Linked DNA regions of Arabidopsis thaliana. The protein of the gene in region 1 interacts with the protein of each later gene in a pairwise test. Each region holds a gene or a part of one and is shown in the gene's direction. Other genes may lie near its edges. The genes, in order: CRK40, IRX1, CNGC9 and AT1G04360.

What was found.
Region 2: the proteins of CRK40 (region 1) and IRX1 interact in a protein complementation assay, tested with the Arabidopsis thaliana proteins (one large-scale study listed by BioGRID).
Region 3: the proteins of CRK40 (region 1) and CNGC9 interact in a protein complementation assay, tested with the Arabidopsis thaliana proteins (one large-scale study listed by BioGRID).
Region 4: the proteins of CRK40 (region 1) and AT1G04360 interact in a protein complementation assay, tested with the Arabidopsis thaliana proteins (one large-scale study listed by BioGRID).

The regions. Positions count from the first base shown.
Region 1 is NC_003075.7:2,287,981-2,293,553, forward strand, and holds CRK40 (cysteine-rich RLK (RECEPTOR-like protein kinase) 40), read left to right. Parts: upstream 1-1,921; 5' UTR 1,922-2,064; coding exon 2,065-2,905; intron 2,906-3,067; coding exon 3,068-3,184; intron 3,185-3,254; coding exon 3,255-3,388; intron 3,389-3,475; coding exon 3,476-3,686; intron 3,687-3,765; coding exon 3,766-4,003; intron 4,004-4,100; coding exon 4,101-4,239; coding exon of another isoform or gene 4,240-4,275; exon of another isoform or gene 4,276-4,452; coding exon 4,453-4,737; 3' UTR 4,738-4,970; downstream 4,971-5,573.
Region 2 is NC_003075.7:10,312,114-10,318,566, reverse strand, and holds IRX1 (cellulose synthase family protein), read left to right. Parts: upstream 1-1,680; 5' UTR 1,681-1,847; coding exon 1,848-2,025; intron 2,026-2,117; coding exon 2,118-2,197; intron 2,198-2,280; coding exon 2,281-2,332; intron 2,333-2,426; coding exon 2,427-2,592; intron 2,593-2,675; coding exon 2,676-2,948; intron 2,949-3,039; coding exon 3,040-3,385; intron 3,386-3,481; coding exon 3,482-3,619; intron 3,620-3,691; coding exon 3,692-3,817; intron 3,818-3,884; coding exon 3,885-4,097; intron 4,098-4,179; coding exon 4,180-4,623; intron 4,624-4,696; coding exon 4,697-5,050; intron 5,051-5,133; coding exon 5,134-5,721; 3' UTR 5,722-5,943; downstream 5,944-6,453. Other genes in the region: NRAMP5 (NRAMP metal ion transporter family protein), read left to right, coding at 1-482, 558-782; MYB98 (myb domain protein 98), read right to left, coding at 6,010-6,453.
Region 3 is NC_003075.7:14,926,221-14,932,041, reverse strand, and holds CNGC9 (cyclic nucleotide gated channel 9), read left to right. Parts: upstream 1-1,686; 5' UTR 1,687-1,902; exon of another isoform or gene 1,903-2,039; intron 2,040-2,324; 5' UTR 2,325-2,360; coding exon 2,361-2,428; exon of another isoform or gene 2,429-2,576; coding exon 2,577-3,165; intron 3,166-3,266; coding exon 3,267-3,479; intron 3,480-3,569; coding exon 3,570-3,880; intron 3,881-3,964; coding exon 3,965-4,313; intron 4,314-4,396; coding exon 4,397-5,068; 3' UTR 5,069-5,208; downstream 5,209-5,821. Other genes in the region: AT4G30570 (Glucose-1-phosphate adenylyltransferase family protein), read left to right, coding at 91-141, 222-287, 381-620, 698-1,336; GGP3 (Class I glutamine amidotransferase-like superfamily protein), read right to left, coding at 5,329-5,424, 5,538-5,821. UniProt on the Arabidopsis thaliana protein: Putative cyclic nucleotide-gated ion channel.
Region 4 is NC_003070.9:1,166,679-1,170,943, reverse strand, and holds AT1G04360 (RING/U-box superfamily protein), read left to right. Parts: upstream 1-1,909; 5' UTR 1,910-2,291; coding exon 2,292-3,437; 3' UTR 3,438-3,656; downstream 3,657-4,265.

The DNA.
Region 1 (5,573 bases):
AACTTGGTCATGAAAGTGTTGATATTGTCACTTTCTTTCATCTTCAAATTCTCATACTCCCTTCTAAGAGATTGAAGCTTTATCATCCTGACTTGTGGTGATCCTTGAAATTCCAATACCAAGGCTTTCCAAGTGCGCTTGATGCAGGGGCGATTCTCGGAAATATGGAATCTGAGACGGCAGTTTGAAGAATTTGCAAAGCGGTTAGATCCTTTAAGGATGCTGCTTCACATCGTGTCTTTTGTTGCACTGCTTCAGGGCTATGATCTCCTTCTGCGGGTGGTTTTGGAACTCCTTCGTCAACAATTTCCCACAGTTTCTTTGTCTGGAAAATTGTTTTCATCTTGATGCGCCAAAAACCATAATTCTCTTTGTTGAAGATTGGAGTCACAATGTGTGACACCATCTCCATAACTCTCTCGTGTTTATTAAACTCTTTACTTGAAATGTTTGGCCCTTGAATCAGTAGGGCTCTGATACCATGTTGGAAATTGAAGCCTCTTGTTACAAAGAAAAAACAAGTGTTTACTTGTTGTTCTGTTTCTTATGAGATACACAAAGCAAAAGAGAAACTGACTTTTATTGAATGGAGAACTTGTTCGTTTCATCACGATACAAAAAGTTTAAATAGAAAACAAATAGACACAATAAGTAAAGAGTTGTGTCTCTTTCTCTCTAAGATAAACGACACAACCTAATCTAAAAGTCACGACTCTAACAAACACCTTTTAATACAACATAATTATAACTTATAGACCAAACTCAATTATAAACTAACAGATTTGATGCAGCTTCCTAATTTCCAACAGCTCCATGATGTTTATCAGCTCGTTGTTGTCAGAATCTGCATCTTCATAAATTTATAATAAATATAAATATATAATGTATAACTGTATGTAGAACCGTATATTGTGGATCCGTGAATTGGTGGAAGAGTTGCTATTGCGGAATCGTCCAAGAAGCTATTCATAAAATCAATCACGAAAGAAAAAGAATTTGTTTTGCTATTATCTCTATATTGTGGGTAGCCATTTTTGGAATCTTTGAAAAATCAACCAATACGCATTTTCTCTCAGTTTGGAAGTTAACAAAGACGCGTTTTTTCAAGGTTTTGTGGGGACTGGGGACCAAAAGTTCTTAATATGGGTTAACGTCTCACAGGTAATACCAAACATTTCATTTATTTGTGTTTTTCTATCACTATCTTTTCCACATTTTAGTATTTTACTATTACATATAATTTTTGACTAAGAAGTTGATTGTGAATGAGTCTGTACATCTTCCTAGAAATGATTATAAGTATATTATTTAATTTGTTACTCCCTCTATTGTCATTTATTTGTAGTTTAAGTTTCAAGGTTTTGGCACAAATGAAATTATTTCGTTTTTTATTATTATCTTTTAATATAGTTAATTATCTATTTAAAAACAATTCAACAAATTGAAAAAAAAGTTTTGTAGAATTTCTAAGAGTCAAAAATAATAAAATTTCCATTAAAAATTGAAAACAACAAATAAAATGAAACTATTTGTTTTTGCTTAAACAACACTTCTTAAAAAACAGAGGAACCATTGTAAAATAGATTTTTCCCAACACAAATCGAAAACGTAACTTATATAATCTCTATATTTTTAGTAATTCAGCGACTTATCATTTCATTGTTAACTATTTTTCACTGACATGTTTCTCGTTATATAAAAGTCTCTGTTTATGTCAATGGTCGTATGTGAATGGTTCATGTATTATGCAAAACTGTTTATGATAATATTGCCGGGGAAAAAAAACTGCCATGTTTCATTTTTTTACTAGTTATTACATTTGATTATTATCAACCAACTTACCATTGAAAGATAACTTGTGATTATTATTTACAGTAACGAAGAAAATTAGGCCATATTTTGTTTTCTTTTTGGAACCTTTCAAATGTCAAAGCTGGTAGGCTATATAAATATAAACAAAGCTCAAAAATTTATTACTATACTTAACAGTAACGAAGTAGACTACTTCAAGTAGTACATCAAAAAAAAAAAAACCAAAGAAGTTGTTATCTTTAACAAACAAAAATGGGAAAATGCTCTGCTTTGATGATATTCCTCTCTTCTTCTCTTCTACTTGTCCTTCAAACACTCCATGTTGTTAACGCGGTCAAATGTTTCGGAAACTCCTTCAACGGTAACAGCAGCACCTTCGCTCAGAATCGCCAGAAACTGTTCCCTACTCTTGCTGACAAAGTCATCATCAACGACGGATTCTACAACGCTTCACTCGGCCAAGATCCCGACAAAGTTTACGCTCTTGTCAGCTGCGCAAGAGGCTACGACCAAGACGCTTGTTACAATTGTGTCCAATCATTGACTCAGAACACACTAACAGATTGTCGAAGCCGTAGGGATTCGTTCATATGGGGAGGCAATGACGATGTAACTTGTCTTGTACGTTCCTCAAACCAGTCTACTTTTGGGAGCGTCCAGCTTAAACCTCCTGTTGTATGGCCAAGTCCAGATACTATAGAGTCATCTAAAAACATAACCCTTTTCAAACAACAGTGGGAAGAAATGGTTAATCGGACCCTAGAGGCTGCCACGAAAGCTGAAGGTTCCTCGGTGCTTAAGTACTATAAGGCCGAAAAAGCGGGTTTCACCGAGTTTCCAGATGTTTACATGCTGATGCAATGCACACCCGACTTAAGTTCACGAGATTGCAAGCAATGTTTGGGAGATTGCGTGATGTACTTTAGAAAAGACTATATGGGAAGAAAAGGAGGCATGGCTAGTCTTCCAAGCTGTTATTTCAGGTGGGATCTATATTCTTTCCATAATGCTTTTGATAATGTAACAAGAGTTCCTGCGCCTCCTCCTCGACCTCATGCTCAGGAAAAGGAGAGCTGCATAACAGTAAAAAAAGGTAACACAAATTATTTTAGCTTTCATTTAGAGCTCAAAAGAGCCAATTTTGAGGAATATTGTTTACATAAGTGACATGAAGCGGTTTGGTATGAACTTTTCGTGCCAAATTGTTATTATGATTAAGAGGTTAATTCTTAGACAAAGGGTTGGTAATTTGCAGGGAAAAGCATTGGGTATGGCGGAATTATCGCAATAGTTGTGGTGTTTACTTTCATTAATCTTTTGGTGTTTATTGGCTTTATCAAAGTCTATGCACGGAGGGGAAAATTAAATAATGGTAAGTGTAACTTGCTTCAATCAAGCTTATGATGTAGAGAGTAAGGCTTATGGATTTTTTGTTTTTTTAGTTGGTAGTGCAGAATACTCTGATTCTGATGGTCAATTCATGTTACGGTTTGATCTTGGTATGATCGTAATGGCAACTGATGACTTCTCCTCTGAAAATACGCTTGGCCAAGGTGGATTTGGTACGGTTTATAAGGTAATAATAAACTTTTTCCTTAATGATGAGTTCTTGATCAACATTGGTCTTTTATGAGTAAATAGATATCTTGAGAATGGGTTTCAGGGGACATTCCCAAACGGGCAAGAGGTAGCGGTCAAGAGACTAACAAAAGGATCAGGACAAGGAGATATGGAGTTTAAGAATGAGGTTTCACTCTTGACAAGACTCCAACATAAGAATCTTGTTAAGCTTCTTGGGTTCTGTAATGAGGGAGATGAAGAGATTCTTGTCTACGAGTTTGTCCCCAACTCAAGTCTTGATCACTTTATCTTTGGTGAGCCTTCGAAAGACAGCTGCCAAGTTGGATAGATTTAGAACTTTTAGCAAACTAAATGTTTCTTTGAACTCTGCAGATGAAGATAAGCGTTCTCTTCTTACATGGGAGGTGAGGTTCAGAATTATAGAAGGCATTGCTCGAGGTCTTCTCTATCTCCATGAAGATTCTCAGCTGAAGATTATTCACAGAGACTTGAAGGCAAGCAACATACTTTTAGACGCTGAGATGAACCCTAAAGTTGCGGATTTCGGGACTGCGAGGTTGTTCGACTCCGACGAGACTCGAGCTGAAACAAAAAGAATAGCTGGAACCCGGTAAGAAATATATCAATCAAATTTGATGACACATTTCAAATGCTCTGTTTTGAAAACAGAGTCCATGAATTAATGCTATTGGTTTGCATATATGCAGTGGATATATGGCTCCTGAGTACTTGAATCATGGACAAATCTCAGCTAAATCTGACGTTTATAGCTTCGGTGTTATGCTTCTAGAGATGATTAGTGGTGAAAGAAACAATAGCTTCGAAGGAGAAGGACTTGCAGCTTTTGTAAGCTTCTTCACAATTTTTTTTTTTTTTGAATAGCTGGAGGTTTTGGGCCGAAGCCCGTAATCCCCCCAGGACCGAAACCACAGCATGTAATATTAGTTTCGTTCCAAGCGTTACTCGAACCGGCGACCTTAAGCTTCTTCACATATCAGTTTTTGTTTTTCTATCTTCAAAACTTTATCCCGAAAGTAAGAACTTATGTTTTTGGTGTAGGCATGGAAAAGATGGGTTGAAGGAAAGCCTGAGATTATAATTGATCCGTTCTTAATAGAGAATCCAAGAAATGAGATCATCAAGTTGATCCAAATTGGTTTGTTGTGTGTTCAAGAGAATTCAACAAAGAGACCAACCATGAGCTCTGTAATAATTTGGCTTGGCAGTGAGACTATCATCATTCCTTTACCTAAAGCTCCTGCTTTCACTTGGATTCGATCCCAATCTGAAAGTGGTGCAATGTCATTGAGCGACGATGTCTTCACGGAGTTGAGTTGTCGTTGAGATATACATCAGTTAATCAAAATATTTGAATATTTTTTAATATCAAACTCCATTAATCTGCAAATTTGTTAGTAAATCGCATAATCTTGGATTCGAACTTTAGACTTCTTTGGTGTAAAGGCTTTATTAACTCTTGATTAACCTTTGGGCCAAGAGGGTTTTCGCGTCCAGTTTTGTTTTAAAACTATTTTCACCAATATTAATTAATATTATAGAGGTAAGAAATAAATAAACTTAAAATGTTGCACATATAAATATGATTTAATAATAACTGAAATATCTTATAAATCTCAATTAGGAGAAGATAATAAATCTTTTCTTAACAATCAGATAAAATATCAGTTCTTAATTTCAGTTACTTTATTCTGATATATCTTACTCTAAATAGAATTATAAAGAAGTTTTTTTCTTTCTTTTTGTTAAAACAAATATTATAATATAACAATTGTTTTTAAGTATTTTCACATTAATTCCCAAAACAAAATATATCACGTACCTAATATAGTTCTCCCTAATATATTTCTTCTAAATGACCAATAAATTTCAAAGTTGATTTTAATTTTACATGACCAATAGAGTGAGGATAAAAAATCTTTTCTGACCAATCAAATTCCTGATTTTAGCCACTCTACTTGATTCTTATCTTAGTATGAACATATATATAAGGAAGTTTTTTTTTTGTTGTTGAAAATATAATATAAGGAATTTTCCTTGATATTTTCAGAATTCCCAAATAAGAGTATATCTATGTACCTAATATAGTTCTTTCTAATATATTTTTCTAAATATATACCTAAACAAAATCTAGTGCAGCCGAATATTGTCAAAGACTCAAA
Region 2 (6,453 bases), 8.0 Mb from region 1:
AATCGTCAGCCGCGCTTTTTGTTTCGTTCATGATCAATTTGTTTGTAACTGCGGTTTTCGCGAAAGGGTTTTATGGAACCAAACAAGCTGATAGTATAGGACTGGTTAACGCGGGATATTACCTACAAGAGAAATATGGCGGTGGTGTTTTCCCGATACTATACATTTGGGGGATTGGTTTATTAGCTGCTGGACAAAGCAGTACTATAACCGGGACTTATGCTGGACAGTTTATAATGGAAGGGTTCTTAGATCTTCAAATGGAACAATGGCTATCAGCTTTTATAACGAGAAGCTTTGCTATTGTACCTACTATGTTTGTTGCTATTATGTTTAACACATCCGAGGGCTCGCTCGATGTTTTAAACGAATGGCTTAACATTCTTCAGTCGATGCAGATTCCTTTCGCGGTTATTCCTCTTTTGACTATGGTTTCTAATGAACATATCATGGGTGTCTTCAAGATCGGACCTTCGCTTGAGGTAAAGCAATTTTTTGTCATCTCTCTTTATTGTTATGTGCTTTTGATTGTAACGAGTTAGTTGGGATCTTTGCAGAAGCTAGCTTGGACTGTGGCGGTGTTTGTGATGATGATAAATGGGTATCTTCTTCTAGATTTCTTCATGGCTGAAGTGGAAGGGTTTCTTGTTGGGTTTCTGGTTTTTGGTGGAGTAGTTGGATACATCAGTTTCATCATCTATCTTGTTTCTTATAGAAGCTCACAATCTTCTTCCTGGTCGAGTTTAGAAATGTCAGAGAGAGTTGTTTCCACAGAGACGTAGAAACCCATAACTTTAGTATTCTTCAACCCTTACAACTTATCTGAGCAAAATCAGAAGGTCGAATTTGATGGATGGTTTTGCTGTATTTGGTCAACGGTTTTATTTGAGACAGTAGACCAGAGGAAACTCAGATGTGATGATGCAAAGACTGAATTGGTTAAGAGTGTAGATTGATTTGTTCTAACATTGCAAATGTAGAGTAGAATTATGCAAAAAACGTTAATGAACAGAGAAGTGATTAAGCAGAAACAAAATTAGAGAAGTGATATTATATCTCAAAATTTATTTTTGGTACAGCTAAAGCTCAAATTGTTATAGAGATTAGAGATATTAAACCAAATGACGAGTGTTTTCTTTAGTAGTAAACGGTGAAAATTCTCTTCTGACAAAGACAATTAAAATTTTAGGTTTAAGACTTTAATATTTGTCACAAATTGTCATTTACCTAAATAAAAAAAAAACTAAATATTTTTTTTAGATACATATGTGTCTTATAATTTTAACTATAAATTTTAATTTTATGTCTTAAATAATTGTTTACACTATAAATTTAAATATTTTAATGCTAAAATTAATTTGATTCAAAAAAGTGATTTTAATTCTTATTTTTCTTATAGAAAGTTGGTGATTGAAAAGATTTACTTAAAAATTATAACAACTTCAATGGTGAATAACCCGACCCGAATAAACCGGATATAACAACTTCAATGTTAGCTTGATATAGAAAGTACGGTGACGCTTAGGAGGCAAGCAAGCTAGTATCTGCCGCTGGTTAGAGACAAAGAACATGTGTCACTCCTCTCAACTAAAACTTTCCTTCACTTTCCCGCAAAATCATTTCAAAAAAGCTCCAAATTTAGCTTACCCATCAGCTTTCTCAGAAAACCAGTGAAAGAAACTTCTCAACTTCCGATTTTTCACAATCCACCAAACTTTTTTTAATAACTTTTTTTCCTCTTATTACAAAACCTCCACTCTCATGGCTTCTCAAACTTGTTATCCATCCAAATCTCAATCCCTAATTAGGGTTCATTTCTCTGTTTCTCCAAACAGGGGAATTCGAAGATGATGGAGTCTAGGTCTCCCATCTGCAACACTTGTGGTGAAGAGATTGGTGTAAAATCAAACGGAGAGTTCTTTGTGGCTTGTCATGAGTGTAGTTTCCCGATCTGCAAAGCTTGTCTTGAGTATGAATTCAAAGAAGGTCGAAGAATTTGCTTGCGTTGCGGCAATCCTTACGATGGTACAATTATAAATTTACAAACTTTATTCGAAAGTTTGATTTTTTGGTTAAAGAGTATTTATAACTTGTTTTGTTTTGTTTTGCTTTCATAGAGAATGTGTTTGATGATGTTGAGACAAAGACATCTAAAACTCAATCCATTGTTCCAACACAGACCAATAACACTTCTCAGGTTTGTGTGCTTAGCTAAGATTAGTTGCTTTTATGTCTTAATTAGATTTTACAAATTTGAGAACATTATCTTGACTTTTTCAGGATTCAGGGATTCATGCTAGACATATAAGTACAGTCTCAACAATAGACAGTGGTAAGAACTAAGAAACAAAGCCAAAATCTTTGTATACATTTGGTGAGGTTATTAATAGTTTAACTAACTTGGGGATTGTTGTTTCTTCCTGAAGAACTGAATGATGAATATGGCAATCCAATTTGGAAGAACAGAGTGGAGAGCTGGAAAGACAAGAAAGACAAGAAGAGCAAGAAGAAGAAGAAAGATCCAAAAGCAACAAAAGCTGAACAACATGAGGCTCAGATTCCTACCCAACAGCACATGGAAGATACGCCACCGTAAGCACATCCTCGTACTAATCTAATAACATTCACCAAAAAGTTTGAGACGTTGATTTGGTCTCTGCCGTTTGTATTCTCAGGAACACAGAATCTGGTGCTACAGATGTGCTTTCGGTTGTGATTCCTATCCCAAGGACAAAAATCACTTCATATAGGATTGTCATCATCATGCGGTTGATCATCTTGGCTCTGTTTTTTAACTACCGTATCACGCATCCTGTCGATAGCGCTTACGGTTTATGGCTAACATCTGTGATATGTGAGATTTGGTTTGCTGTTTCTTGGGTGTTGGATCAGTTCCCTAAATGGTCTCCTATTAACCGAGAAACTTACATCGACCGGTTATCCGCAAGGTTACAAATGTTTTATAACCGTTATATGCTTAATCTGCGCAGTTACTACCAATCTTTAAGTTTTATGAAACCATTTATCAAAACTATGCAGATTCGAAAGAGAAGGCGAGCAATCACAGCTTGCAGCTGTAGATTTCTTTGTTAGTACGGTAGATCCATTAAAGGAGCCACCTTTGATAACTGCAAACACGGTTCTTTCGATCCTCGCGCTTGATTATCCGGTGGATAAAGTCTCTTGCTATGTATCTGATGATGGTGCTGCAATGCTTTCGTTTGAGTCTTTGGTTGAGACAGCAGATTTTGCTAGGAAATGGGTACCTTTCTGCAAAAAGTACTCCATCGAGCCACGAGCTCCCGAGTTTTACTTCTCGCTTAAAATCGATTACTTGAGGGATAAAGTTCAACCTTCTTTTGTGAAAGAACGTAGAGCCATGAAAGTAAGTAAGCAAGGGCTTTAAAACCTTAAATTAATCTCATATAGCGTTAACCGATGATTGAATCGAAAACTTAATGTCTAATTTCTCTTCTTGTAGAGAGATTATGAAGAGTTTAAAATAAGAATGAATGCTTTAGTCGCCAAGGCTCAAAAGACACCAGAAGAAGGATGGACAATGCAAGATGGAACATCTTGGCCCGGGAACAACACTCGTGACCATCCCGGGATGATTCAGGTTTGCTAGCTAAAACATTTGACCTGAAATGCTCTGTCTTTTCTTGTTAGTCACGTAATTTCTTTCTTGCAGGTTTTTCTTGGATATAGCGGTGCTCGCGACATTGAAGGAAATGAACTTCCAAGATTAGTTTACGTCTCTAGAGAGAAGAGACCTGGTTATCAGCATCACAAAAAGGCCGGGGCAGAGAACGCATTGGTAAACTTCAAAACTTTTTCTTTTATCGTTCAATTTAGCACAATCCTAATGATTTTGTTCTTTGTAGGTGAGGGTGTCTGCGGTTTTAACGAATGCTCCATTCATTCTTAACCTTGATTGTGATCACTACGTCAACAATAGCAAAGCCGTGCGTGAAGCAATGTGCTTTTTAATGGATCCTGTTGTTGGTCAAGACGTTTGCTTTGTTCAGTTCCCACAGAGATTTGATGGAATCGACAAGAGTGATCGATATGCTAACCGCAACATTGTTTTCTTCGATGTAAGTTATCTCATACTCATAACTTCAAGCAAAGTTTTGAGATTTCTTATGATATTTTGTGGTTTTGATATGATGTTTTCAGGTTAATATGAGAGGGCTTGATGGGATTCAAGGTCCAGTTTATGTTGGTACAGGTACTGTCTTTAGAAGACAAGCACTTTACGGATACAGTCCACCTTCAAAACCGAGGATTTTACCGCAATCTTCATCATCGTCGTGTTGCTGTCTAACCAAGAAGAAACAACCTCAAGATCCTTCCGAGATTTACAAAGATGCAAAGCGAGAAGAACTTGATGCTGCAATCTTTAATCTTGGGGACCTAGACAACTACGATGAGTACGACAGATCGATGCTGATTTCACAAACAAGCTTTGAGAAAACGTTTGGTCTCTCTACGGTTTTCATCGAGTCTACTCTTATGGAGAATGGCGGTGTTCCCGACTCTGTAAACCCGTCAACGCTCATCAAAGAAGCTATTCATGTCATTAGCTGTGGATACGAAGAGAAAACTGAATGGGGAAAAGAAGTAAGTGCCTTGTTTCTTCATATCAAAGTTCTCTTGTGAGTACATTTTATAACCTTTCGTTCTGTTTTCGCAGATAGGATGGATTTACGGGTCGATCACCGAAGACATTTTGACGGGTTTCAAGATGCATTGTCGTGGATGGAGGTCGATTTACTGTATGCCATTAAGACCAGCATTTAAAGGATCTGCTCCAATCAATCTATCAGATAGGCTTCACCAGGTTCTACGTTGGGCTCTTGGCTCGGTTGAGATCTTCCTTAGCCGACATTGTCCTTTGTGGTACGGTTGCAGCGGAGGCCGCCTCAAGTTGCTCCAGAGATTAGCTTATATAAACACTATTGTCTACCCATTCACTTCTTTGCCTCTTGTTGCTTACTGTACTCTTCCAGCTATTTGCCTTCTTACCGGCAAATTTATCATCCCAACGGTAACTTTTTCATACTACTAATTACTTTGGTTAGGTTACAGCAAGATTGAGAATTTGATCTTTGTTTCTGTTCTTTATTGCAGCTATCAAACCTAGCAAGCATGCTGTTTCTAGGTCTCTTTATATCAATCATCTTAACGAGTGTCCTCGAGCTTCGATGGAGCGGAGTCAGTATCGAAGACTTATGGAGAAACGAACAGTTTTGGGTTATTGGAGGTGTCTCAGCTCATCTCTTTGCCGTTTTCCAAGGATTCCTCAAAATGCTCGCTGGTCTCGACACAAATTTCACAGTCACATCGAAAACCGCAGATGATTTAGAATTCGGTGAGCTTTACATTGTCAAATGGACAACTCTCTTGATCCCTCCGACGTCACTTCTTATAATCAACTTGGTCGGAGTTGTTGCTGGATTCTCTGACGCTCTTAACAAAGGTTATGAAGCTTGGGGACCTTTGTTTGGGAAGGTATTTTTCGCCTTTTGGGTGATTCTTCATCTTTATCCATTCCTCAAAGGTCTTATGGGAAGACAAAACAGAACACCTACTATTGTTATTCTCTGGTCTATCTTGCTTGCTTCTGTGTTTTCACTTGTTTGGGTTCGTATCAATCCTTTCGTCTCCAAAACCGATACGACTTCCCTTTCTCTGAACTGTCTTTTGATCGATTGCTAAGAGAAGATACGTTATGTTTGTATTTTGAAAGATTGATCATATGTGTTTTGGTTGTTTTATAAATTTTCATATGGTTGCTTGAGCCACAAGTTAAGTAATGTTCTTATTTTAGCAACAAGTCTTGGCGGGTTCCGCAAGTTAGGTTTCTATTGTTTCAACATCAACATGTTTTTAAAAAGCAAAATATTTTATATCTTTTCAAATTATTGAAGTTTGGTGGAATCTGTCTCGTATAAAAAGACAAACAAAAAACAACAAAACTGAAACAAGCAGAATAAAAAATACAAATCAGAGTCCATGAACAAAAGCATCAATGTCAGGCTGAGGAATGTCATCAAGCAAAGAGTCAATGCTACATCCTTCCTCAAGCAGCTTCTCATTGAATCCAAAATCATCAGTAAACACACATTCAGGCACAATCCTGTCTTGTCCATACACCTCCTCTTCCTTCTTCTTCTCCTCAACCGCAACAACAACATCCTTCTTCTTGTTATTACTCTCTCTGCGTCTACCTCTTGCAGGAACAGAAGAAGCCATCAAAGCTCCCATATTCAAGCTCTTGATGTAATCCTGCAACAGAGAAGGTCTTGGATACTTAGATCTACATTTTCTTTTAGAGAATTGTCTTCTTTTTGTTGCGTTCCAATGGTTCTTGATCGAGTTCTCTGTTCTTCCCGGGAGTCTTTTCGCAATCTCTGCCCATTTGTTTCCAATCTCTTTGTGAAATTCTAT
Region 3 (5,821 bases), about 13 Mb from region 1:
AGTAGATCATCTGGTTATATTTATGCAGAATTGAAGGCTCTTATTCTAGTTGGAGGATTCGGAACCAGATTGAGGCCACTTACCTTGAGCATGCCTAAACCACTTGTTGATTTTGGAAACAAACCCATGATTTTGCATCAGGTAGGTTAGCTTCTTCTTCTTCTTTTGTATTTGCTCAAGTTTTCACAGTTTCTTTTGTTCTCATTATGATGCATTCGCAGATTGAAGCTCTAAAAGGTGCTGGAGTGACTGAAGTTGTATTAGCTATCAATCACCAACAACCAGAGGTACATACATTCATTGTCCTTAATAACGATACGATAACAATTGAAATTCTTCCGTGTCATCCTCCTTCTCCTTGTGTGTTTGGTATTACTCAGGTCATGTTGAACTTTGTGAAAGAATATGAGAAGAAGCTAGAGATTAAGATTACATTTTCCCAAGAAACTGAACCGCTTGGAACAGCAGGGCCTCTCGCGCTGGCTCGGGATAAGCTGGTCGATGAATCAGGCCAACCCTTTTTTGTACTAAACAGCGATGTTATCTGTGAATACCCATTGCTTGAGATGATCGAGTTTCACAAGACTAACCGTGCTGAAGCATCAATCATGGTGACCGAGGTAGTCAAACAGGAGCATTTTCTGCATTTTGTGAAGTTTATCTTTCATCTGTTAATAGCATTTTCTGATATTAACAGGTTGATGATCCTTCTAAGTATGGTGTGGTGGTTACAGAGGAAGGTACAGCGAGAGTTGAAAGTTTTGTCGAGAAACCGAAACATTTTGTGGGGAACAAGATCAACGCTGGGATATACCTCTTGAGCCCATCTGTTCTTGACAGGATTGAGCTGAGAAGGACTTCGATAGAGAAAGAGATATTCCCTAAGATAGCTTCAGAGAAGAAGCTTTACGCGATGGTACTACCTGGTTTTTGGATGGACATTGGTCAACCGAAAGATTACATAACCGGGCAAAGAATGTACCTTAACTCTCTAAGAGAGAAAACTCCGCAAGAACTGGCCACAGGGGATAACATAATCGGGAATGTTCTCGTGCACGAAAGTGCGGTTATAGGAGAAGGTTGCTTGATAGGACCTGATGTGGTGATTGGTCCGGGATGTGTGATTGATTCAGGTGTAAGATTGTTTGGTTGTACTGTAATGCGCGGTGTGTGGATCAAGGAACATGCGTGTATCTCTAATAGTATCGTGGGATGGGATTCAACCGTTGGAAGGTGGGCTCGAGTTTTTAATATAACGGTTCTTGGCAAAGATGTTAACGTCGCCGATGCAGAGGTTTACAACAGTGGGGTTGTTATCGAAGAGCAAGGTCTGTGAAACCAGAGCCTAGACCTAGATTAGTTAGTTCCACTGTTTCCAGAGTCTTATGAACCGCAATATTCTTACAATTTAAAACAGATACAAACTCTATGGTAAACCATATCATAAACCGGTTAAAAATGGTATTCGACACCAATAGAGAAAAACGTTTTTCAGATCCATCCCTAAGCAAGTTGTGTATATTTCTTTCGTAAATGTTTTGAGACATTCTTATAAGGGACATATAAATTATTGTAGATAAAGCCTATGTTTCTTAAACACGAAACTGTGATTTATTAATAGACTATAGTTTGGTGTATGTAATTAACGTTGAGAAAAATGAAAGACGTGACGGCAGAGAGAGAGAGAGTGGACCCGACCCGGACGGCACGGAGACACTTTCAGTTTCTTCTTCTTCTCTTCTGTCTTTGTGATATTTCTCTCAAAATCAATATTTTTTCATCTGTGAAACGACTTCGTCTCCTCCCACTCCATTGTCACTTTCTTCTTCACCCTTCTCTCGTCTCCGTCTGATTTGGCGTGTAACTTCTTTCTACCGTAATTCTCCTTCGTCTTCTTCTCTGGTATATCTCTTGCATTCCCTCCTAATTTCTTAGCCAATTACTGTTTGGAATGATCTTCATTTTGTACTTCCCATTGCTTGATTTTGGTTGACACCTTTCTCGTTTAAGATCGTCTCGTTTTCATGCTGAAAACTCAAGTATTTAGTTTTTTCGTTTGTACCCTTTTGTTGATGTTTTGGTTTGGGGAGAAAATGTGGTTCCTTTCAAGTTTTTTCCGTCAATTTGAGTTCTCAGGTCAACGAAAATGGATGGATGTTCTTAACCCATTAACCAAGTTTGATTTTTAGAGAGATTCTGTAAACAAACAATAACATTTTTTGTGCTTGAATTATTTTTATATTTATTGCAAGTTTAGGATTTTGCTGCTTGAAATGATTTTGATCATAAATGTTTATTACATTTTCTTATGTGTGTAAAAACAGGTTTGGGATTCATGAGTTGAGTCACAAGGAAAAAGCATGTTAGACTGTGGCAAAAAAGCAGTCAAATCACAAGTAATCAGTGGCCGTCTCGAGAAGTTTGTAAGGTAACTCTCATTATTGTATATAGTTGATCGAAATTTAACATGATGATATCATTCTAGCAGATTCAGATATTGTTTAGCCAAAAAGGACATTCCTTTACTTCAGGTTTGAAACTAAATGGATATCTTTAGTTTATTTTGTTCTTCACAGGTTGGATAGTATGGATTCTAGGTACTCGCAGACTTCTGATACTGGTCTAAACAGATGCACTCTCAATTTACAAGGACCAACACGTGGTGGTGGTGCTCAGGGAAACAATGTATCTTCTGGTTCCTTTAAGAAAGGGTTTAGAAAAGGTTCTAAAGGTCTTTGGTCTATAGGAAGATCAATTGGTTTAGGGGTTTCACGAGCAGTTTTTCCTGAAGATCTTAAAGTATCAGAGAAGAAGATTTTTGATCCACAGGACAAGTTTCTTTTGCTCTGTAACAAACTGTTTGTTACTTCTTGCATTCTCGCTGTGTCTGTGGATCCGCTCTTCTTGTATCTTCCGTTTGTTAAGGATAATGAGAAATGTATCGGTATAGACCGGAAGTTGGCTATTATAGCAACAACGCTGCGGACAGTAATTGATGCGTTTTATCTTTTTCACATGGCTCTTCGGTTTAGAACAGCTTTTGTCGCCCCTTCTTCTCGGGTTTTTGGTCGAGGCGAACTTGTGATTGACCCTGCACAGATAGCAAAACGTTATTTGCAGCAGTATTTCATCATTGACTTTCTCTCTGTGCTTCCACTTCCACAGGTAATAACAGAAATGCCTCTCCCAGTGTTCTCTTATCTTCCATTGTTTCTTTGTTCTCTAAATTTTTATGACTAGTTTATGTTATTCTTTGGATTTTTCAGATTGTAGTTTGGAGATTTCTTTACATCTCTAAAGGTGCAAGTGTGCTAGCAACAAAGCGGGCATTGCGATCTATCATTTTAGTTCAATATATTCCAAGATTCATTCGGTTGTATCCTTTGAGCTCAGAGTTAAAGAGAACAGCTGGTGTTTTTGCTGAAACTGCTTGGGCTGGTGCAGCTTATTACTTGCTACTCTACATGCTCGCAAGCCATGTCAGTACATACTATCTTTGGTAGCTTTCCTCTTATATTCTCAAAAGATCCATTCATCACTCTCTCTTTTTTCCCTTATGTTTTTATCAGATTGTTGGGGCTATATGGTACTTATTGGCCTTGGAACGTTATAATGGATGCTGGACCAAGGTTTGCAGTAATAGCAGCTTGGACTGTCACAGAAACTTCCTGTTTTGTGGTAATGAAAAAATGGATGGTTATGCAGCTTGGACTACCATCAAAGATTCTGTTCTGCAATTAAATTGCCCAGTTAATACAACCGATAATCCTCCTTTTGATTTTGGGATCTACTTAAGAGCCTTGTCCTCTGGCATTGTCTCATCTAAGAGCTTTGTCTCTAAGTACTTCTTCTGTTTATGGTGGGGACTTCAGAATCTCAGGTACGTAATTCTAAAGAATCCGTCTTCTATAGTCATTATGAAAAGTCTCTGTTGCATTAGTAACTTTGTCGATGTCAAATGCAGCACTCTTGGTCAAGGGCTTGAAACCAGCACATACCCTGGAGAAGTTATATTCTCCATAGCACTTGCCATTGCTGGACTTCTTCTCTTTGCTCTTCTTATTGGAAACATGCAGACTTATCTTCAATCCCTTACAATCCGGCTTGAAGAAATGAGAGTGAAAAGACGTGATTCAGAACAGTGGATGCATCATCGAATGCTTCCACCGGAACTGCGAGAACGAGTCAGACGATATGACCAGTACAAATGGTTGGAGACACGCGGAGTTGATGAAGAGAATTTGGTTCAGAACCTCCCAAAGGATCTGAGAAGAGATATCAAACGCCATCTCTGTCTGGCTTTGGTTCGGAGGGTAAGTTGAATCTTACTTTAAAAGCCTTTTTCTAATCTTGATTCATAAATGAAACCATCTTGTTCTATTTTTCTTATGGAAAGGTTCCATTGTTTGAGAATATGGATGAGAGGCTGCTCGATGCAATCTGTGAGCGGTTGAAGCCGTGTCTGTACACAGAGAGCTCTTATTTGGTTCGGGAAGGCGACCCGGTTAACGAGATGCTCTTCATTATCCGTGGTCGGCTTGAGAGTGTGACCACCGATGGCGGAAGAAGCGGTTTCTTCAACCGCAGTTTGCTTAAAGAAGGAGATTTCTGTGGGGAAGAGCTTTTGACATGGGCACTTGATCCCAAATCTGGTTCCAACCTACCATCCTCTACCAGAACCGCAAAGGCTCTAACTGAAGTAGAGGCTTTTGCTTTGATAGCAGATGAGCTCAAATTTGTGGCTAGCCAGTTCAGAAGACTACACAGCAGGCAAGTTCAACACACATTCAGATTCTACTCGCAACAATGGAGAACTTGGGCTGCTATCTTCATACAAGCCGCGTGGCGACGATACGTGAAGAAGAAGAAACTTGAGCAACTCAGGAAAGAAGAAGAAGAAGGAGAAGGATCAGTTACTAGCATCAGAGCGACGTTCCTGGCTTCAAAGTTTGCTGCAAATGCACTTCGTAAAGTTCACAAGAACCGTATTGAAGCAAAGTCTACTATAGAACTTGTGAAATATCAGAAGCCTTCAGAACCTGATTTCTCTGCTGATGATACTAGTTGACCAAATTTTACCAGAAAAGTGCTAATGTCTATGAACGCTTATAACTTGTATAACTCGGATTGAATTTTATTGTTTGATTTGTGTTGCTACATTAAGATAAAGAAAAAGGTGGTAACATAAAAGATTATTTGTGATTGTGATTTGTTTTATATGTGTTTCTTTCTGTTTCCTGAAGATAAAATATGAAAGATACTGCAGGTTTATTGAGAGATGACATAGTTTTTGATAAGTTCATACAGAGATAACATAGTCTCGGATCATCAACCTTTCAGGAAGTTTTTGCAGAGCTTCTGCCATAGAATCCTGTCTGGTTGCGCAGTCTCCATCGTACTCTTTGCCTTATCCGCAAACTCTTGCTGAAAAAAATCAATCACATTGCAATTCTTGATAAGGCTAACTACATTGAGAACAAGAACACTCCGAAATGTTTATCTAGCAAAAATAGAGATCATAGAGAAGGAGAACAAACCTCCATCAGCTTCATATTAAGGACTCGGTCCACAATCTCAAACAGAATCTCTTTGTTATACTCTGGATGCCCTTGAATACAGAAAAAATGATCTCCAATAGAGAACATCTCGACGTTACATACCTCAGAAGAAGCAAGTAGTGTAGCAGACTCAGGAAGTTCCAACACTTCATCCTGATGACATTTTATAATAGCTAAAGATGCTGGGACCTCAACGTCTCCAAAGTAACCTCGTAGTTTTTCATTGTCTTTCGCTATGGTTATGCTTCTAAGTCCCATATCTG
Region 4 (4,265 bases), on another chromosome or scaffold:
AGAAGACGATCCTGATCAATGCAACTAATAGAATCTCGAACATCAAAACAAAACAAAGAAAATTATAGAGATCGAGTTCATATCTCGGAGCGACGTGTATCGATGATGGTCTGACGCACACACGTGACCGACCAAGCATCACGTGCTGCTGAATGCTGATCCATCTCACCGTTGCTGTGTTGACCTGAGTCGTCGACGTGGCGCATGATGATGATCCTCAGGACCTCATTCTTAAAAGAGTAGTCTATAGTCAAAGTCAATTGTTAATGCGGAAACAAAATTCTACTATATTAATGAGATGCCTAGATTTCTTTTTTCATATTAGTTTTGAATTGTACAAATAATTGGATTCTAGTAAAATCCTCCCAAAATTGAACCAAAAGCTTTCACAGCTGTTGTCAGTCCATGTGAAAACTACTGATGAGTTGTTTTTCACAAGTTTCATGAATCAACTGTTTTTAATGGTGATTTAAGAAAGTTTAAATTTAAGTAATACAATGTCACTAAGTTCTATATGAAATATTCTTCTGCTGCTCTGCCCTGGTTGTAGTATTTGTTTATTTGTAATTACTGCCGAAGCATCAATTGTGATTTTGTCGATTTTTAGGTTTAACTGATGCAACACTTCAACAAAAAAAAAAATTAAAAAAATTTGTAAACATGGATCTGAATCTAATTTTGTCGATTTGTGATTTCTCCCACTATATTTTTTTTTTCTTTTGACAATCGTGATTACGGATTTTCATCGGGAGCCACTTATGAATATTAGTTGTTTGGATAAAAATAAAAATAATGCAAAAACAACAAATTACTTTCCACTAAGGGTTGTCTCCGTCGTGGGCACGTTTTCGTTTTTATTATGTTAGGACAAAACTAAGAACGCCATAAGTCGATGTGTATTTATATATCTTTTTGTGTTAAAGATGTGTATTTATACATCCTCTAACGTATTATAGAACATAAGTCCATCTAAAATTCGATTATATACACTTTGATGATAAATAATACACAAATACGTACACCCAAAATTACTCAAACAACTAACAAAAATAGTCACAATTGTTTTGCTAAAGACAATACATTATTGATAAGAGAAAAAGGTTCAAATATAAAACGAAACTATACTTCTCACCGGACCTATTATTATGTTCTATTCTGTCGTGAGCCAAACTCGTCAAACATAAATACACGATAGAGACTAGTGAGTATGGAAACATTGTCCTTCTTTATCATTTTTTATTTCTGTTTACCAGTTGTTGTTTTGTTTTTTGTTTTTTTTAACATCTCATCTCATTTCTTATATATTTAAACTAATAAAAGATGAAAACCAAAACGAAAACTTTGAACTATTTCTGCGGTGGATTTGACTTTTCTTTTATTTCTATTTTGACGGGATTAGACAGAGAAAGGATAAGTCTTACTAACCTTGTGTCTTTTTCGGGGATCTTTCTTGGACCGTTTCGAATCATAACTAGATCTTCGATATCTATCATATTATCTATTTTGAACCATAGTTTAGAGCAAATTACTTGCAGATATTCTTCTGAATAAGATAAATTTATTACATTTTCAAAGGATCCTTCACAAAATATATAGTCTGTCTAAACATATCAATTTAATTAACCGACAAGTGTGGTTAGCTGGAGTTCACAGATTCTAATTATTGAAAAATGACCACTATACTGTATTAGCGAATCCAATTATATCATCATTATACTACATACGACTTTAATATAAACGTAATCTACATGGACAAACAAAACTTTCACTATCATCAGAAGATCCAACTCAAAATGTCAATTAAATTACTCCACTTGAATATAAGTAAGCTTTTCCTTATTGTTTTCCTCACCATAAGTACTACAAAAAATGTTTAAATAAAAAGAAAACTCTTACACCAAACAAGTCACATAGATCGAGGAAAAAAAAAAAACTCCTAAAAGATTCAGCAAAATGATAACCTAAATGATGAAAAAAACAAAGTAAGATGATAACCTAAATAAATAAATGAGTCATATAAGAAAGAGCCTCTGAAATCTCACCAACTCTTTCTCTCTCTCTTTCATTTCATTACTTCATCTCTGTTTTTCTTCTCTACCACTATCTCTTCTACTATTCTGATCTTTCTCTTACACACGCAATTACGTATATATAAACACTTTCAGAGTAGGGAGGAAAAAGATTCAATAGAAAATAATTACTTGATTTCTTGATTTTTTTTTTCGTTTTCTACTGAATATTTCCCTTCAAATCCTAGAGGGAGCTTTTCATTTAGATTGTTTTGTAGTCAAATGGATCTAACAGACCGTCGTAACCCTTTTAACAATCTTGTTTTTCCGCCGCCGCCTCCGCCGCCATCCACGACCTTCACAAGCCCTATATTCCCACGAACAAGCTCTTCCGGCACCAATTTCCCCATTCTGGCCATCGCAGTGATTGGAATCTTAGCCACTGCGTTCTTACTTGTAAGTTACTACATCTTCGTGATCAAATGCTGTCTTAATTGGCACCAAATCGACATCTTTCGCCGCCGCAGACGAAGCAGTGACCAAAACCCTCTAATGATTTACTCTCCTCATGAGGTAAACAGAGGACTAGACGAATCCGCCATTAGAGCTATCCCAGTCTTCAAATTCAAGAAGAGAGACGTTGTTGCAGGAGAAGAAGATCAGAGTAAGAACTCTCAAGAATGCTCTGTTTGTTTAAACGAGTTTCAAGAAGACGAGAAGCTAAGGATTATTCCTAACTGCTGCCACGTGTTTCACATTGATTGCATTGATATCTGGCTTCAGGGCAACGCAAATTGTCCCTTGTGCAGAACCAGCGTTTCTTGCGAAGCAAGTTTCACTCTTGACCTAATCTCTGCACCGAGCTCTCCTCGGGAGAATAGCCCTCATTCTCGGAACAGGAATCTCGAACCCGGCCTGGTTCTAGGAGGCGATGATGACTTCGTCGTCATAGAGCTTGGGGCCAGTAATGGTAACAACAGAGAAAGCGTGAGAAACATAGACTTCCTTACGGAGCAAGAAAGGGTTACCTCGAATGAGGTCTCGACCGGAAACAGCCCGAAATCGGTGAGTCCTTTGCCTATAAAGTTTGGTAATCGGGGAATGTATAAGAAAGAAAGGAAATTTCACAAAGTGACGAGTATGGGAGACGAATGTATCGATACTAGAGGCAAAGATGGTCATTTTGGTGAAATTCAGCCCATAAGAAGATCGATCTCGATGGATTCATCAGTGGATCGTCAGCTGTACTTGGCGGTCCAAGAGGAAATCAGCCGGAGAAACAGGCAGATTCCGGTAGCTGGAGACGGTGAAGATAGTAGCAGTAGTGGTGGTGGTAATAGCAGAGTCATGAAGAGATGTTTCTTCTCTTTTGGAAGTAGTAGAACTTCAAAAAGTTCTTCAATATTACCTGTTTATTTGGAACCCTAATTCTGTATTTTCCTCTTCTTGATTCATTGTTCAAAAAAATTATTTTTTGTATTTGTTATTTGCTGAGGTGAATTTAAAAAAAAATATTTTGGAAGGTGAAGTAGGAGAGAAAGATATATAGTGTACATGTTTCTTCTTTGTCAAATACACATGTTCAATGTTTACAAGTCATAGGAGTAGATGAGTTACTTGAATAGTAATTACAGAAGTTTCTGAAAATTGAATAAATAGTGTTTTTCACTAAACGAGTTACACGAAAACAAATCCCAACAAAGAACTGCAGGGAAAAAAAAAAAAGGAAACAAAGAACTAACCTGTGAGGCCCAAACGGCTTAAACACATAAAGGCCCAAATGCATAAAAGCATAAAGGCCCAAATAAATCTTTGTCGCCGCAGACTCGCCTTTAAGGTCCGTATCAAATCGGACAGAGGAGGAACTGAGCATGACGACTTTCCGGCGTAGGAATTAGTAAATCCTAAAATCGGTTTCTGCAATCAAACCGGCGTGGATCCTCAGACCGTGAAGATAGTATTGATCAGTTTTCTGCGAGCTAAGTACCGAATGGTTGCAGGTTTGCCTTGGTTGGCTACAACAAGCAATCTTTGATCGGTTTTGTTTGGTTCAATAACATTTGCTACTGGTTTAGTTTGGTTACTGATTATACTTTAGCTTGTATATAATTCTTTCTTTTGGTATTGCTAGTTTCAATTTAGTCAAGAAACTGTGATTGACAAGATGCTGATCAAGTTTGAACCTTTATTCCCAATTTAAAGCATTCACTAAAATTATACACACACACACACACACACCTTTCTTTGTTGTTTTTG